Danio rerio: one gene and its partner. The protein of the gene in region 2 purifies or fractionates together with the protein of the main gene of each other region. This does not show direct contact. Links are inferred from orthologs where the notes say so. Each region holds a gene or a part of one and is shown on either strand. Other genes may lie near its edges.

Region 1 (3,853 bases), on a different chromosome or scaffold from region 2:
GTGTTTAATTAGTTAATTTAAAATTCATTTCATTATTCCAGCAATAATTGTTGAGTGAAAGAATGCGCTAGAAATTTGCATTGCGGCTCCCTTTATTGTACAGGCTTATTGCACTTAAACTTTTTTAGGTTCGGCTCTCGAATTAGTAAGGTTATGAGTAAATGTTATTTAAAATATTTAAAGCCTGCCATCTAGCCTACAATAACAGCAAATTTAATAATAGAAAAAAATAATAAGACAGGCCTACTTTGGCGTTGCAATAAAATAGTATTAATTATCAAAAAAATAATTACAATATATAATTAAAATAGGAAGAAGTAAATGAAAACAAATGGTACCCTTTGTTTTTATAGCAGGGCCCAAAGTGTTCTTATTCTGGTTCTGCTAACAACTATTAAAAAGAAAAAAAACACACCAAACAATAAAAACACTAGTAACTGATATTAATAATAATAATAATTATTATTATTATAAAGCCCTATTATATTATTATAAAGATTGTTATGAAACAATCATGTAAACCAGGTGCTCCTCGGAAATGGCTATCTTTGCTCTGCATCAGGTGCACAGCAGCAAGAAGCTTGGCAGTGAACTATGACCTTATTTTAATGACAAATGTCTAAGAATACTGCTTTACGTTTTTATTTAATTTATACATACGCAATGAATGTAAGCCTGCTAACTGTGTGTGGTTCAAATGATAGAATATGTAAACTTAGTTAATATATAATTAAATAATAATAATTAAAAGCCTGCGTGTAAGGCTTTTATTTTGAGGGTGACGTCACGAGCGCAGATTTGGTTGACCAATTAGAGGAAAGTGGGCGTTTCAGCACCGCCTACATGTGTAAAATGAATTTTAAAGTCGTTTATCCGTTTTCCTACCCTAAACCAAAAAACGAAAATCCAGCCAAAATCTCGTTTTTTCGTTTTCTCGTGAGCAAAAGGAAAAACGGCCGTTTTCTCCATTTCCTTTATTCCGTTTGAAAATGGAAAACAAATGAACAAAACGTACACGGACCGTTCTAAAACAACAAGTTTTGTACATTTAGTTTTAAAGGTTTAACTAAATAAATCGATCAAAAACTTGAAGAAAAAAACTAAGGTTAATGAACATTTCAACCGTCTATGCCCTTAAATAGACAGTGAAAGAATAATTCAACTAATGCGATTATCAATTTAAAACTTGAAAAAATATAAAAACAGAAAAAACACACACGTTTATCCCTTTTTTCTCCCTTCACGCTTAAACTACATTTCCCATGATTCCTTCTGCTCTTTCTACGGTCTAAAGCGTGAATGATTACGGTAAGTGATGTGAGCTGAAATAGTCATCTTCTTTCAGTTTAGAATTGTTTGTCAATAGTTTGCCAAGCTTACTAAAATAAACGATCTTCACGGTTCATTATCCTGACGTTTGTCACTGTTTAAGACCCAGAATTTAGAGCTACTAGGCTAATTAGCATGTAGCTGCTAAACAATAACGTTATGGTGTTGAAGCAGGCGTCGCTGAATTTCTTGAAATTACGAAATACACAACACGACGGTAAACGTTCAAGTAAAGTGTACTGTGTATGCAGATATAATACTGCAATCATGGGCTTTTGCAACGTTAGGTTCCTTAAAACATAGCATTTGAGCTTTCTCAGAGTCAAAATATATATGAAGAGTTGAATAGAACTACCACAACTCAACTAGGTTAACCCATCGATTTCTAATGAACATACATTATATATGTAACGTTAACGTTAATAAGTGTGTAAATTAACTTAAGCAGCGCGTGTAACGTGTTTCCAGGCAACGAGAAGCCGGTGATGTGAAGATGCTGAGGAGGAAACCAACGCGCCTCGAGCTCAAGCTGGACGACACGGAGGAGTTTGAAAGTGTCAAGAAAGAGCTGGAGGTAAAATTTTGGACTTGTCATCGTGTCTTAAACATGTGTCATAAATAGTTGCTTCAATTTACTGTACACACATAAAGACATGTTCCTTCATCCCAGTGGGGACTCTCATAGACCCCTTAATGATGGTTCTACTGTACAAACAGTAGATTCTATCCCCCTACCCCTAAACACAACCCAATTTATCTGTACTGCATGTCTTTGGACTGTGGGGGAAACCGGAGCACCCGGAGGGAACCCACGCGAATGCAGGGAGAACATGCAAACTCCACACAGAAACGCCAACTGAACCATGGTTCGAACCAGCGACCTTCTTGCTGTGAGGCGACAGCACTAGGTCTGGTGCGACTGCTTCGTCCGAGGACAGGATTTTCCCGAATGTAATTCTATAAATTTGATGGGAGTAAACCCAATATAGAAATGTAAACAGAGATACGCTAGTGCTTGAGCCTACAAATGGACAAAGCAGTAAAATTAGTTATAAATCTTAGTGCAGCATGGTAAACAGTGTCCAGTGCATGCAGACTAGAAGACGAAGCATACATATAGATAACATCAGCGTAGTCCAATATCAACATAAATGTTGCATCAACCAGCTTTTTTGTAGCATCAAAAGTAAAGTTGTATTGGAGTTGTTCTACAGCTGATTTTGATAGACTACAGTTATGTGTTAGTAACCACAGCGAAAATATATTTCTGCTAAAAACATTATCAATTATGATTAAGTTATGATAATGATATTATTAGGTTATGAAAATGATACTTTAGTCCCTGCTCTCCCCTACTTAATTAAAATAAAGCAAAAATTCTTAGTCCACCACTGCAAATCAGTCAGTAATAGTGTGATTTCTTCATCATTCTTTTTCTCATTTAAAAGCAAGCATGTAAGCAAATCTTACAGAAAGTAAGAAGCTTTCTATAATCTCATGTTACTTTCCCCACATGTGTTAAGAGTCGGAAGAAACAGAGGGATGAGGTGGATGTCGTCGGTGTCGCCACATCCAGTGAGATGAGCGGAGCGGCAGGTGGCACTGCTGATGGGAAAACCAGAGAGCAGATGATTCACGAGAGAATTGGATACAAACCCCACCCCAAGCCTAACACGTTACCATCGCTCTTCGGAAACCTTCAGTTTTGACAAGTGCCAATCCTGAACAATGGACTATAAGGTCTTGAGAATCTGTAACACAGACACGTACGTGCACACAGAATATATTCTGCATCAATCTTGCCAGATTAGAAATGGACATAAAATTATGGCTTTGGTTAACGGTGTTTGTGATAACTGATTTCAAATGACTATTTTTCTATTGAAATAAATAAAGCCTTTCTAGTTGGATGTGGAAATGGTGTGTAAATGTGATATTGGCAGAATTATATTTTTGATAATACCGATTAGGGCGCAACGATTATAAATTTTGGTTGTACGATTATAGTATTAGAAATAATCACGTTTATCATGATTATTTGCATTCATTGATCCCAAAACCCCATTAGTTTATAAATAGTTTAAAACGGTTTTAAATTTTGTTTTATATATTGTGCCCAACTAAATATTTGTTGCTGGTTTAATCGTTTAATTTTATTTAAGTGCATATAAAAAATTCAGTGGATATTATTGATGCATTATTTGGTAAAACTGCTCATTCAATGTGTTTTTGGTCATTATCAATGCACCGGTAAAATAGACCCAGCGGCGAAACCACGACTGCTTGCATGATGCTCATGCCTCGTGTTGACGCACTGCTTCTGCATGCAGTATGAAAGCTCTAATCTGTTAACATGGATGCGAAAAAAAACACTCTCTGGTCATGCCTGCGGTGTGAAACAGGCTTGAGTCTTTCACCACTGTCTTTAAAAACATTCAGTTGATCCCAGCTGGGGATTCGCCACATGATTGCTCTCCACAACGCCATTATTTGTAACTTTAAGTGGGTTTGCCAATCTGTGTCC
Region 2 (3,656 bases):
CCAAAACACAATTTTTTGAGATGTTGAAAGTGATATTTGTGTCCTACGCGTGAAAGTGAAAACTGGTTGTTTTGCATTATTTCGAGCAAATTAGATCTTCCGGTTTGAAAATAAATTTCAAAACTACGTCACGGCCATGAGATTCTTGTGTAAATACCAGAGTACAGACTGGATGTCTGTACCGGCTAGTACAAATTGACATTTTTTAGTTTTTATCATTAACTCATGAGAAAGACTTGGTTCGAACCAATCAGCGTGCTCTATTGTGTGTGAGGTGTAACTTCATTAATATGCATGATAGCTTCGAAGACTGTTTTTACCTGTTACGGTGTTCAGAGAGACACCACGTTGTATTTCCAACCGTAATTAAAACAAGTGGAAAAAGAAGAATTGTTTTGAGACGAGGGTCACCAGTATTGCACAGCATTAGTATAGCACAGTGTGTGGACCCACATATGTGCATTACAGTGGTCTGCTAACACGCAATAAAAATATGTTTGTAAGGAACATTTCTGTACCGAAGAGCTTTTTGCATATGTATATAGTGAAATCCAGAAAAGCCACTCGTTTCTTTTTTAAAAAGTTGGAGTTCCAGTTGGAGTTGATTGTCCTGTCTTTAAGGTTTTAGTAAGTGTGTGATCAGTGTTTGTTGTTTATGTTTATTCAGATGGCAAAGTTAGTTAGTATCATCAGCAGTACTCTTTCAGTTTTTAAAGACATGCCTTAGTCAAAATGATTAAGTTACTAAATTTACAGTATGTTAAAATCACTACAATATTATGGACTGATAGATCCGCTGTAAATGCTGCTCTCCAAATGTAAACACATTAATCAAACTAATATCATTGTGTTGGATTTTCACCACATTTTTGTGACAGGATAGTCTATACACACACGGCTGTTTAATGCTATTCTCTGCACCTACCTAGTCTCAAGCATTAAAGGAACATTTAAAAGCAACTCATGTAAACACCTTAATCTTATTATTGTCTTTTTCAGATTAAAGCAAATAATTTGATTACTGATGTCCTTGTAAAAGTAATCACAGTCTATCTCCCTTGTGTCCATGTTTGCGTTGCCGCTGTGAAAATCAGCTGTAGTGCTCGTAATGAAACTCCCCTTTTCATGCAAACCCTTCCCTCTTTTTCCACTCGACACTCCCGCCTAAACAAAGCTGGACTAACCCACTTTCCAGACATTTTTCAAACTAGAGGTCTGAAAAGACCCTGCTGAGAAAGGGGTGGAGTCATGGCCCTTTGATATACATATTAGAATTAAATATTAATGCGCATAACACATAAAATGAAAAATATATAATATATTGTTGAAACTGATTCAAAGTATTCATGAATAATAGAATATAAATAATAATAAAATAATTAAAGTCTACAAACAGTGATTGTTTTACCCTCTATGTCTGAAGGATCCAGGCCTAGAGGCTGAAACTTCTGCTTCCATAGAGCCATTCCTTTGACCTCGCTCAGGTGATAGAGCAGCGCCTCAGAGCCACTATGGGAACAGCAAACACTGATCATGCTGATCGCTAACACTCTCTATCAGGTGAACAATACCCACCTCTGCAAGTGACTGATAACAAGTTTCTGAATGCTGGAATAGGAAGAATCAATAGACTGACCCAGCATCTTCAAGCCCTGAGTGGTCAAATAACAAAAAATGTAGTTACAATGAATGATGTTGGTAATAATCACTAAAGCAATGTAAGCAGATAGGATTAGCAAGGTAGATTTACCTTGACTGTGAGCTGATTCATGAGAAGAGCCTGAAGTTCAGGGCTGAAAGAGAAAACTGCATTTATAAAGTTTTAAAAAAGTAACATCAACACATCATCATCAAAAAAACAGTACTACAGCTGTTTGTATTCAGGCTGGAGATCTAAAAAAAACCTGAACATTTTTTTCCTTAAAGTTTTTTTGTTCATCCAGAAATAAGGATCTATGGGGTGAAAAAACACATTTTGGCTTATTTCCCTACTAGTGACAGCCTTTGGATAATGGTTGTAAATGAATGTATTGTAGATGGTATTTTTTCAGATTCTGTCGGTAGCTGTAAAAGTTTTAAAGTCACATTGTGCCCTCTGTTGGTCATTCAGAGCAAATACAAGCATGAGAAGGTTGACTGTGGTACTTCTCAACCTTTTTGTCTTCAAGGCATCCCACTGAGGCATATATTTACATTCCAAACAGAGACAAGATGTGCCATTTTGGTGTCCACATTAAAGGAATAGTTCACCCGAAAATGAAAACTCTGTTATCATTTGCTTATCTTCCACTTGTTTCAAACCTGTTCCAAAAAAGAAGATGCTTTGAAGAATGTTGGGAAGCAGCAGCCACAGCATTTCTGTTCCCACTGTGAATGTCAATGACTGCAGGTTTGCAACATTCTTTAGAACATATTGATTTGTGTTCAACAGCAAAAAGAAATTCATGAAAGTTTAGAAACACTTAGGAAGTATTTATATTTGTTTAGACTATCACTTAAAATTACATTAAACAAAAACTGATTTCATGTACAGTTAAATCAAAATTATTAGCCTCCTGTTAATTTTGAACTATTTAAAAAAAAAAACAAGTGCTGCTGAACAGAGAAGAACACATTTCTAAACATATTAGTTTTAATGACTATCTTTTTATGACTGTCTTTGCAGTGATGACAGTCCATCATATTTTACTAATTACTTTGCAGGACACTGGAATTCAGCTTAAAGTGACATTTAAAGGCTTAAATAAGTTTATTGGGTTAACTTTGTACGTTAATTTAATTAGGCAAGTTATTGGATAAGTCCTGTAACCAATCAAAAATAAATATTTCTTAAAGGGCTAATAAACCTGGCCTTAACGGATTAATGTAAAACTTCTTTTATTTAAGCAAAACTAAAAGAAATAAGACTTTCTCCAGAAGAAAAAATATTATAGGAAATACTGTCCTTGCTCTGTTAAATATTACAATAATTTCTTCGTTTTGCCCTCAATTGTACATAGAAGAAATCTAAAATCTATGTGACATGTCTACTTCAATATAATACAATTTGTTTTAAATATATGATTTAAAAGTTTATTTTAAAATTATATCAAATACTCAGATTTAAATAAATAAAAATAAATAAATAAAATATACGTGCTGCGCTAACACGAGACTCTTATCGCGCAACAAAAAAATATTGCCGTGAATGTACTCTCAAAGTTGGTTTGGGAGCTGGGTCTATTCTACGCAAGCTATGATGACTTTCACCTTGATATGTATACCTGACCGGTGAGCCGTCTGACAAAAAGTGCCCTTCTGAATGAAATCAGCAGGATGCCTGACTTTAACTGCAGTTCGGCAGTTTCACTTTAACTCATGAATGAACATTTCATCTATTTCATCTATAAATTGTTTACCTTGCATGGCCCCATAACAGCAGCTCCAAAAACTCATCCTGAACCTGAGTGCTTGTGTTTTTTTCCTGTAAAACAACACTGCAACTCATCAACTGTTCTAAAAGTTTTAATAAACAAATCAAAGCCAGTTAGGATAGCTTCAGTGGATCAGTCCATTATTGCAATAATCAACTGTGGTTTAAATGTCTAATGAATGCCAGTGGTGTCTTATAACTGCTTGTTTGTTTTGAACTGACCTGGACAAACTTAGTGAGGCGG

What was found. The genes of interacting proteins can lie anywhere in the genome.
Region 1: the proteins of anapc4 (region 2) and cdc26 purify together in Homo sapiens (affinity purification with mass spectrometry; 11 studies listed by BioGRID and IntAct, with this or other methods). This does not show direct contact. The link is inferred for Danio rerio from reciprocal best matches to the Homo sapiens genes ANAPC4 and CDC26.

The regions. Positions count from the first base shown.
Region 1 is NC_133180.1:62,620,686-62,624,538, reverse strand, and holds cdc26 (anaphase-promoting complex subunit CDC26), read left to right. Parts: upstream 1-1,248; 5' UTR 1,249-1,308; intron 1,309-1,797; 5' UTR 1,798-1,822; coding exon 1,823-1,903; intron 1,904-2,852; coding exon 2,853-3,038; 3' UTR 3,039-3,247; downstream 3,248-3,853. UniProt on the Homo sapiens protein: Component of the anaphase promoting complex/cyclosome (APC/C), a cell cycle-regulated E3 ubiquitin ligase that controls progression through mitosis and the G1 phase of the cell cycle.
Region 2 is NC_133195.1:26,086,939-26,090,594, forward strand, and holds part of anapc4 (anaphase-promoting complex subunit 4), read right to left. Parts: coding exon 3,635-3,656; intron 3,464-3,634; coding exon 3,399-3,463; intron 1,794-3,398; coding exon 1,751-1,793; intron 1,653-1,750; coding exon 1,576-1,652; intron 1,510-1,575; coding exon 1,409-1,509; intron 1-1,408. UniProt on the Homo sapiens protein: Component of the anaphase promoting complex/cyclosome (APC/C), a cell cycle-regulated E3 ubiquitin ligase that controls progression through mitosis and the G1 phase of the cell cycle.